2 linked regions of the Caenorhabditis elegans genome follow. The protein of the gene in region 2 interacts with the protein of the main gene of each other region in a pairwise test. Each region holds a gene or a part of one and is shown on either strand. Other genes may lie near its edges.

Evidence for each region. The genes of interacting proteins can lie anywhere in the genome.
Region 1: the proteins of tag-276 (region 2) and pcf-11 interact in a two-hybrid assay, tested with the Caenorhabditis elegans proteins (one large-scale study listed by BioGRID).

What each region holds. Positions count from the first base shown.
Region 1 is NC_003281.10:5,023,587-5,030,191, forward strand, and holds pcf-11 (Polyadenylation and cleavage factor homolog 11), read left to right. Parts: upstream 1-1,757; 5' UTR 1,758-1,821; coding exon 1,822-2,112; intron 2,113-2,796; coding exon 2,797-2,895; intron 2,896-2,976; coding exon 2,977-3,198; coding exon of another isoform or gene 3,199-3,444; intron 3,445-3,464; coding exon 3,465-3,526; intron 3,527-3,768; coding exon 3,769-3,996; intron 3,997-4,041; coding exon 4,042-4,619; intron 4,620-4,667; coding exon 4,668-4,987; intron 4,988-5,036; coding exon 5,037-5,609; intron 5,610-5,658; coding exon 5,659-5,757; 3' UTR 5,758-6,061; downstream 6,062-6,605. Other genes in the region: R144.13 (Coenzyme Q-binding protein COQ10 START domain-containing protein), read left to right, coding at 1-7, 68-130, 182-388.
Region 2 is NC_003280.10:12,247,589-12,250,913, reverse strand, and holds tag-276 (uncharacterized protein), read left to right. Parts: upstream 1-1,771; 5' UTR 1,772-1,835; coding exon 1,836-2,231; intron 2,232-2,511; coding exon 2,512-2,592; 3' UTR 2,593-2,789; downstream 2,790-3,325.

The DNA.
Region 1 (6,605 bases), on a different chromosome or scaffold from region 2:
TGTTCATGTTAGTTTATTCAAAGATTTCTAAGAAGGTTTCGGTTTTCGATATTCTATGTGTTTACAGTCTGTCGTCATAGAAAATGATAATCTCTTCCGCACACTTGACACTACGTTCCGGTTTGGAAAAGTTCGTTCCATCAATTTTTGTTAAACCTCTATTAACGTTCACCTTTTTCAGGGAAAACCATCTGTTGAACGCTCATGTACTCTTCACTATGACTTAGTTTTTGAATTCGAGTCAGCTTTTCACTCAAGAATCGCTCATCTTTTCTTCGATAAAGTCGTAAAAACTATGGTTTCAGCATTTTTGCACCGCGCTGAAAAGCTTTATGGACCACCGGAATTCCCACACTCACCACCGCAGGTTTTACAGTACAAATCTTGATTTTTTTAAACTTAGTGACACTGTAATCAGAGTATTTATTTGTAAATTTTAAATTTTTTTTTCTTGCTTCTTAAATAAAAATGTAGATTCAAACTTTTATGTTCTAATTGAATAAAAACTAGCCGTTTCAGCATCGGTATCCTTATTTTTCACTATTTTTCTCAATATTTTTCTGCGGTAGCGAAACACCGATGTCCCGTTTTCTTCGCAAAATTTCGAATCATTGGGCTTCGCTTCTTCGCTCTTGTCCCGTTCTTCTTTCGTTTGCATCTTTTTTTCAACTCTCACTTTCAAATTAATATGGATTAAAACTCGTTTCGATTAAAATCTTGAAGCGAGTTCATCCGAATTTGTACAAATAATTGTATTGAACATTTAAAGACACATTCCTTATCTAAAAGCGACGTACCATGCTTTTTGAAGTCAATTAATTTTTCGGGAATTGCTCTTTAATATAATTTCTCATACTTAAAAAAATTCCTCACTATCAGAACAAGTAAAAACCTCCTGGCTCCCGTCAGCCGTTTCACAGCAAGAATCAATTGCTGGCAGCTACGAAAATGTTCTCTGCGCCTCTTCACACTCACCCGGTCGCTGCGAGACCCGCGCAAAATCGATTGACACGCCTCTACCACGCGCTTTTGTCTCTCTTGCCTGTTTTCTGTCTCTTTCGTTCATTTCTCCCAGTTTTCTTCAAATATAACGCCGTTTCTTTGCAATTTTCTCTATATGTGCTTTTGCTAACTGATTTTGTCATCTTATTTTAATTAAAATTACTTGCTAATACACATAATTCTTGTACATGTTCCCCTCCATCATCTCCTTTTACCAATTTCCTTCATTCCATCCACAATCTCTCTCTCTCTCTGTTTTTACCTCCTCGTTTCTTGTTGCGTTTATTGATCCATTTTTTCACGTCACTAATCAATATTTTCCAGATACGCCGGACTCGACTCGAAAGACAGCGCGCAGACTGTTTGGTGCGAGAAGAGGCGGACCTCAGACGGTGTGCAGTCACCCTTTAAAAAATATACATTCCCTTCCCATTCCCCTATCCCCCTTCCTTTTATGATTTTGTCCTCATTTTCTCTAAAAAATAATAAAAATATATGGAAAGTCACTTTGTCAGCTAGACTTTGGGTTTCTTGACTACTCTTCAGTTGCGATTAGCATAATATTCGCGCTTGTTGTATCAAGCTGTTGGCTCGCCTGCGCGTTTGGAGCATCACAACTTCCTGTATGTTCGTGCGGAAGTTTTGAAGCTGCCCGCCGTTATTTAGTTTTTGCTCGGGACGGTGCTATAATCTCGTTGACTTCTCCCGTTGTATTTTTCACGCAGTTTTTATTTTTCAAAAATAATTAATTTCAGCACGTGAAAACGAATATCCGGGTTATTTTATTCACCTTCGTAAATATCACAATCAATATTCATGATGGAATCGGTCGAATCGGCAGCACGAGACTATCGTGAGACGTTGGCCGAATTGAGAAACAACAACAAGACTCAAATAAATCTGCTAACTATTCTGGCTGACGACTTCAAAAAAGCAGCTCCACAAATTGTTGAAGTTATTGAGCGGCATCTGACAACGTGTTCTCCTTCACAAAAACTGTTAGTGATGTACGTGTGTGATTCGATTTTGAAGAACGTTAAGAAGCCGAACGATTATGATGCACTGTTTGCAAGGAAAATCGTAAGCATGTTCGAGCATGCTTTCCGACAGGTAATATATCAAAATTAAAAAACATCGGTCTGTCTAATCTAAGCCTTCCATGAGGGTGAGTTTTTACCCTCCCTACCCTACCCTCTGCCCTACCCTACCCTACCCTATGCCCTGGTTTTACCCTGTATTAATTCATTTTTAACGTTTTCTTAGAAATTTCATTTCTAAAAACGAAAATTTTACAAATAAAGCGAATAATGCTTAAAATTCGTATTATTACGTGAAGGCATAGGGTAATGTGTCCATAAAATACCCTGTTCGGGTAAAGGGTAAAAAAGGGTATCAACGTGCCCTACCTTTTTTTTACCCTCACGGAAGGCTTAGTCTAATCTAGCAAAGCACGCAAAAATGCAATCCAACAACGTTTCGCCAGCTTTCATTGCGGTAGTTAACAGATTTTTCGCGCGCCTTTTTGGATCTAGAAGATAAGGTCAAAACTTTCTCAGCTACAGACCGGGTCTTGTCGCGATTGAGTACCGTAGTTTTCCACAAAATGTCCTGAGAAGTTAAAACGTTTTGTTTCCAATTTCGGTGTAAAACTTTTTCCTGCTACTTCGCACGACATTTTAGCGCGTATAGCTGAGAAATTTAAATGAAGTTTCGCAAAAAATATCTACAAAGTATGTCACGTTAATTTCGCTTGCAATTATTTTTCGAAATCATTTTGAATTCTAAACATTTCAGGGAGATGAAAGAATCCGTACATCGTTGTACAGGATACGAGTCACATGGGCCAGCACCACATTGTTCATGCCTTCAAAGTTATATGAGCTTGACATGAAGGTAAACTTTCAATTTCAGATCCTGAAATCGAGCTACGATTTCGCAATATCATTGCTAATGATATTAATATTTGTATTTCAGATCAATAAGCTTGACCCAAATTGGCCAATTTCAAATCCACAGACTGGTCGTGCACTTCGTGATGATCCACAAGTTATGGCTCCTTCTCAGAGTAGACCAGCAGGCAATGCCACCAGTCCAGCGGCTTCCACGTCAACGAATCGTGTATTTGTGAACCCAAAGTTCATAGGTTCATCCACACCTGGTGCAGCATCAGCATCAAAGACGGTCGTGGAAAAAACGGTAAAATATTCTTGTGAACTTTTATTTTCACACGTTTTTCAATGTATCACTTTCTATGTTTTGTCTTTATTTTTCCACATATCATCTGATCGTTTATTTATTATGAAAAAAAAAGAAATGCTTTATCTATCATTTTTCACCGGAATCATGGAAGTTGAGAAAATAAGCGACAGAATTGGCAAAAAACACAATATTCTTCGTCACTGTTCAAATAAATTATTTCCAATTGGGTGGGATATTTGTTGAAACCGCTTATGTTATTACAGAAATCACCTGGCACAGTAAACAAGGAAAAGCAAGTGAAGAAAGAACCAAAACAGGATCCACTGTAAGTTTAATGTCTTAGGCGTGTCTTGGTGTTACAATTTGGTATGTAATGAGAAGAATCGATGTTTTAATTTTGAAAAAAAGTAATTCAGAAACAAAATGAATGAAAAAAAAAATAAAATAAATCTGTGTGAAAGTGTAACATTGAATAAAATTTCACAGTAATTTTGTCATGATCAGCTAGTCCGAAATAACACGCTTAAAAGATTAGTTTTATTTCAGTTAACAAAACATTTTTTCCAGTGACAAACTACTTCCATCAAGCTCTGCATCCAAGACATCATCATCACCGGCTGGATTGAAGCGAAAATCAGCACCATCCGAGCATCCAAATGCTCCGATTCGCAAGAAGCCACAACAACCACCAAAGCCACAGACAGCCATTGATGAGGATCTCAGATCTATAAGCTTGACGAAGAAGCCGCCAGTTCCATCAGCACAAGATCAAGATTTCCGACCAAAGACTTTGAAGTGAGTATTTAGTCTAAACTGTTTTAAAAATCGAAAATTTTGCAGGCCAACATCAGTGATAGGATCTCACGCATTTGCCCCTGTAGCTGCTCCGATCCGTCCTATGATACCTGTGCCACCACCTGTTTCAGTGGCTCCATTTGTGCCTGCTCCGCCACTTTCGTCTGCTCCTCCATTCCAACATCCTCAACAACATCATCCACAACTTCCACCTCCACCAGTTCATCAAGGAATGGGAAGAGGATATCATCATAATTCGCCTCCACAAGATCCGGCACCAATCGTTCCAGTTCAAGCTCCACCTCCACAGCAACACCTTCCAGCTCCAGAGAACGTTTACTCGTCAGAACAACCGAAACTCGATGTTCCAGCCAACAACCGTATCTTTGTCGATGGAAAAGCTTATGAAGTGATGTTTGTCGATGATACTGCAGTTATCGAGCGTGGTGGTGCTCCACATCGTATTTATTTCGCTGGACCGCCAAGAAACCTCGTAATTGATGGAATCCCACACTTGCTTCAGTTTGACACTCCAACTCAAATTGACATATTAGGATCAAAGCATATGGTCAAGTTCGGAGCACCATCCCGCGAACTTTACATTGGTGGTCACCCATTCAAAGGTAAATACACATATTTTCACAGTTTTTAATTCATATTCGAACTTTCAGGTCAATTTGGAGGACCACCGATCATTGCAACGATCAATGGACGTCGTCATGAGATCCGATTGACTGGAAGTGCTCCAGAAGTTCGCATTGAGCCTGAGCCAGCATATCATCTTACTCATTTCTTGCACAAAATGCGCGAGGAGAAGAAGATTGAAATTGCATCGGAGAAGCCGGAGAAGAAGGAGGATTGGCTCTCATATCTGAAAAATTTGAGAACTCGTAATATATTGCCAGCTCCGGCCAGATCGCCATCTTCGCCACGCAACCAGACTCCACCACCAGCTAATCTTCCAATTCCGGGAATGAATAATGCTGGACAGGTAATTAACTATCAGGATTACAGTCTCTTAAATAATTTATTGTTTTCAGAGAGGAGGTTATCATAACCGTCATCAACCACAACAGAACGCTAGATGGGGTGGAGCGAATAAACAGCAGAATATACCACCACCACCATCTGATCCATCTCCAATTGGAAGTGGTGTTGAGAAGCGAAGTGCTCCACCGGCGGCCATCACAGATTTCAATATTCGTCTCTTGCAAATTCGTTACGACTCGGTCGTTGACGCGTTGATTACCAAGAGAGCCGACGCTTGCAAGTTTTGTGGAATGAGATTAGATGATTCTCAAGGAAAGTCAAAAGAATGGCAAGATCATATGGATTGGCATGTGAAGCAAAATTTGGCACGCCACGGGTCGAACAATTCGGCAGCTGTACCATATCGTCAGTGGTATCCATCGACATCCACTTGGCTTACACCACGTGCATCTGATGAAACGAATGAGCAAGAAGCTGATAAACCCGAGGAACCACTTCCAGGAGTAGCATCTTCCGGTGTTAAAACCAAAGAATGTTCAGTTTGTGGTGAGAAGTTTGACGAGTATTATGATGATGACGAGGAAACGTGGCGATTAAGGGACACAGTTAATGTTCACGGAAAGGTGAAAATTTGTTATTCAAAACTCGTGAATTTATCAAGATTCATTACAGATTGTGCATTCTGCGTGTGCTTCCGACGCAGCTCGATCACTCGACAACTCATCATTCTTCAACGACAGTGACATCAAAAAAGAGGAGCCGTTCGACTGAACATAATTGTTTTTTTATTGAGCCTTTTTGATGGGCATTGTCTAGTCATTGAAAATATTAACAGAAATTATAAAATTCACCAAAAAATTCATTAAAGCATTTTTCCATATGCTTTAAAATTTTCAAGCATACCAAAGTTTTCCTGTTTTCTTGTTTCGTTATGGGTTTTTTAGTTTTCATTTAGCTTACACCCCCCCCCCCCCCCCCCCCCCCCCAACGTCCCAGACAATTTCAACAAATCTTGGTTGTGATTCCGTTTCAAAACCTCACCTATACATTTTCTATAAATAAAGCAAATTATTTTTAAAAATACCTTTTATATATATTTTTCCTTTTCCACCCTCCAATTTATCACATTGAAAATAAAAATCATAAAACCCCCGTTTTTCAGAGTCGACGACTTCAATAATTTTTATTTGCTTTTTTAAAATTATTTTTTCGTTTTGTTTTTTTGGTCGAATAAATCTATTAAAATGGGAAATATAATTGTTTTTGTTCACATAACGAGAATTTCAGAGATGTAGGTTCTGGTCAATTCCGTAAATCACTGACACTCCAAAGTTATGAAATGCCGCAAAGACTACTGTAGGCAGTATCAATTGAATCAATTGTTAGAAACCTGTTTCGAGAAGTTTTGGAATATTCGTATTTCAACATTTTATTGGCTCTAAATTGTTCAAAAATCTCAAATTTTGGAAAGTTTGGTAAGTTGCCAAAATGACTAGATACTTTTAAATATCTAACACGTTTTGGAGTTTGCTACGATATTCGGGTTTTTTGGATAATTATATTCATAAGTAAAAAATCGGATAAATGCTGTCAAAGTTGAAATAAACTATCCGAGGCTT
Region 2 (3,325 bases):
AAGAACCAAATTCGAAAAGCCTTTAGAAAAATCAGAAAATGTATAAAATTTCTGAAAGTTCCAAAAAACTTCTTTAAAATGCTGAAACAATTTCGGAAGATTCCAAAAAAAATACCTGAAAACCCATAATTGCAGAAATTTTGAAAAAGTACAAAAAAAAGTAAAATGTAATATTAGGTTGGTCAAAAAGTCTTTGCAAAATTCGTATGTTTCTTCATTTCTCAGCGTTAACTCGTTATTTTCCTATTCTGTTTTTTTATTTGCATAGTACGTAATGTGCATGTTTAATACATTTGAAAAAACTTTTGGGTGTTGTTCAAAATGACCGAGAATTTGCTCGCCGAAGGTCACACCCTCCGAGGGGTTTTCTGTATGGGTTCCCCCAAGGCTGCAATTGCAACGAAGCTCGTGGTAACATGTGTGCAGTGTTAGGCAATAATTCTGTCACCTATAATACCATAAAGTTTTGGTTCGAAAAGTTCACGAAAAAGAACTACGATCTCGATGATGAACCAAGATCCGGTCGGTCTCGTTTGGCTATCAATAAGGATAATTCGAGAGCCCTGGAAGATGATCCAAGAGCAACGAACCGTGAACTTTCTGCGACTCTCAAGCATCTCCAAAGAACCATCATCAACCATCTCCGCGAAACCGGAAGGGTAGAAAAGTTCGGTCATCTCGTTCCTCACAATTTGTCCGATTCTCAGAAAAATTGTTTTGTGACCTCTCTTTTTCGCTGCTCACTAGGAAACGAACAACAGACTGGGTATAGGATATCACTACTGGAGATGAGAAATGGGTATTGCATGTTAACTATACCAGAAAGAAACAGTGGGTCCCGGTCGAGGAAACCGTGAAACCTGACCTCAAAGGGGAACTTCAAGAGAAAAAGTGCTTCTCTAAATTTGGTGGGACAGTAAGGGTGTAATTTTCCGAGGACTTTTTCCAGACTCCGTTACAATCAACGCTGGCCTATACTCTATTCAATTGGAAAAGATGGTCCGTGCTCATCGATTACATCACCCTAGAGAATCAAAATTTAGGCTGCTCTATGACAACGCAAGACCGCATACAACTTTGAGGACCCGCCAGAAGCTCCAGACACTCGGAATCCAAGTTTTGTCTCACCCACCGCATTCGCCGGACTTGACTCCTACTGACTACCATTTGTTCCGCTCTCTCCAGAATCACCTTACCGGGCAGAAGTTTCATGATTGAAAGATCGTCGAAACGTGGTGGGACGACTTCTTTGCCTCCTAATCTCAGGAGTTCTGTGCGGAGGGTATTGCTCAACCTTCGTTGGGTTGGCAAGAAGTCATATACACTAATGGTGAATATATTACCCATTGAATCTCGTTCGCTTTGAATAAATACTCTCTCCAAAAAAAATTCAAAAAGTTGCAAAGACATTTTGACCAACCTAATAATTTATGCAAATTCCAAATTTTCTAAATACTCCTTCTTTAAACATTCCGTTAGAATTAAAGTATCCAATTAAAATTTCTGAAAATTCCAATATTTTTAAAAACTAAAATCTGAAATCCCCTAAATTTTGACAACTTTTTTCCATGTTCCTCAGGGAGAACCCTCCCTTATTTCTCAAACAAAAATGTACGTATGTACCAAATTTATATATTCACAATCGTAAACCAATCAATAACCATTGTTTCCTTCTGCTTTCCCATTGCCACGTTGCATAGCCCATTCCCCCCCGCCCATATATCGATTTTTTGTTGTTGCCAAATTGCAGCGTCCTACAGGGTTAGGTCTAGGTTAGTGTCATTCTTAACCACATATCTCAGTTCTTCTCTCACCTTTTATTTAACTCATTCTAAATGCCATCTCACACCAAGCCGGTCTCCAATGCTGCTCTCCCAAGAGTCCCAGCTCCACTGAGCCCTGCTCAACAAGTCAGAAAATACACTGACTACTTGCTCAAAGAGCACAACCGGTACTATGCACTGGAGTGTCTTCTCTTCCTCGACTGCCCGATTCGAGTATTCCGGGAATGCCGTACCGAGCAAATTGTCAAGAGCCAGTATGATGGACGGTATGAGTACCAGTACCCAGTCAACTTGTTGCTCCAGAAGCTTCGTCGTCTCGCTGCTCAGGAGTTGGAGCAGGATGTTGTGGAGCAAAAGATGCGGGAGGCTTCGAAGAACAAGGTGCTCTTCGCCAATGTGCTCAATATTTTTGCGGATTTGCAAAAGGAAGCGGAAAATTTCTCCAAGGTTAGTTTTTGTTGTTATTTTAAAATTTTGCTGAGAACTTTTTAATTTTCTGAAAACGAACTCAATTTTTAAAATAATAAAATAATTTTCGATTATTTTTGTACTTAAAATACCTACATATTAAGTTAAATTGCAATTTAAAAAAATTTCAAAATAAAAAATCTACACCGATTTTGCGCCGTAAATTTGGCCTGAAAAATAAAAATAAAATTTCGCACCAAATTAAATTTAAAAAAAAATTTCTAAACCTGACCAAACCACCTAAACTAATACTTTCCAGACTACAAAACAATCATCCACGTCACCATCAAGCTCCTCTTCATCCGAAGAATCGTCGGCTTCTTCCTCCCCAGTCGTATAATTTTACCAAACTTATTATATTCGTTGCCAATTTTTCATAATCTGTCATTATTTTCTTGTGTTTTCAACTAATTTTCCCTCATTTTTATTATCCAGTTTTTCAAAAAAACTAATCCCGATTGCAATGTTTCTTGTCAATTAAAACTGTACATCACAGATAAAACTTCAATTCAGTTTACTTATGTTTGCAAAAATATTCAGGCTTTAGGTTTTTAAGCTTTCAGGCTTGGACCGTTGAGCCCAGACTTGGATGCTAACATTTGAATTTAGATTTTCAGAATTATGGCTTTTGCTTAGGCGTAGGCTTGGGCTTAGGCATAAGCTTGGCGTCAGCTCTGAAAAAACATAGTCTGAAAATGCTCTCATTATCTACACACTCCAATTTTTCAGTGTTAAATAAATAAAAATTTGACTCCTAACTTTTTACATTTTTATAGTTTTATTAAAGAACTTGTTATTGTGAATCGAATGCGTTATGAATTATTGCAAAATCTTTGTTTGGCTTTATAGAGCAGTCTGAAAATGCTCTCATTATCCTAGGCCTAGGCTTAGGCTTAGGCTTAGTCTTAGACTTGGGCATAGGCTTAGGCTTAGGCTTAGGTGTAGTCTTAGGTGTAGGCTTAGGCTTAGGGTTAGGCTTAGGCTTAGGCTTAGTTTTCCAAGTTTTTGTATTAGGCTGTTTTTAAATTAAACTGTTTGAAAACATGTTCATTAGCTAAAAAAATATTTAAAAA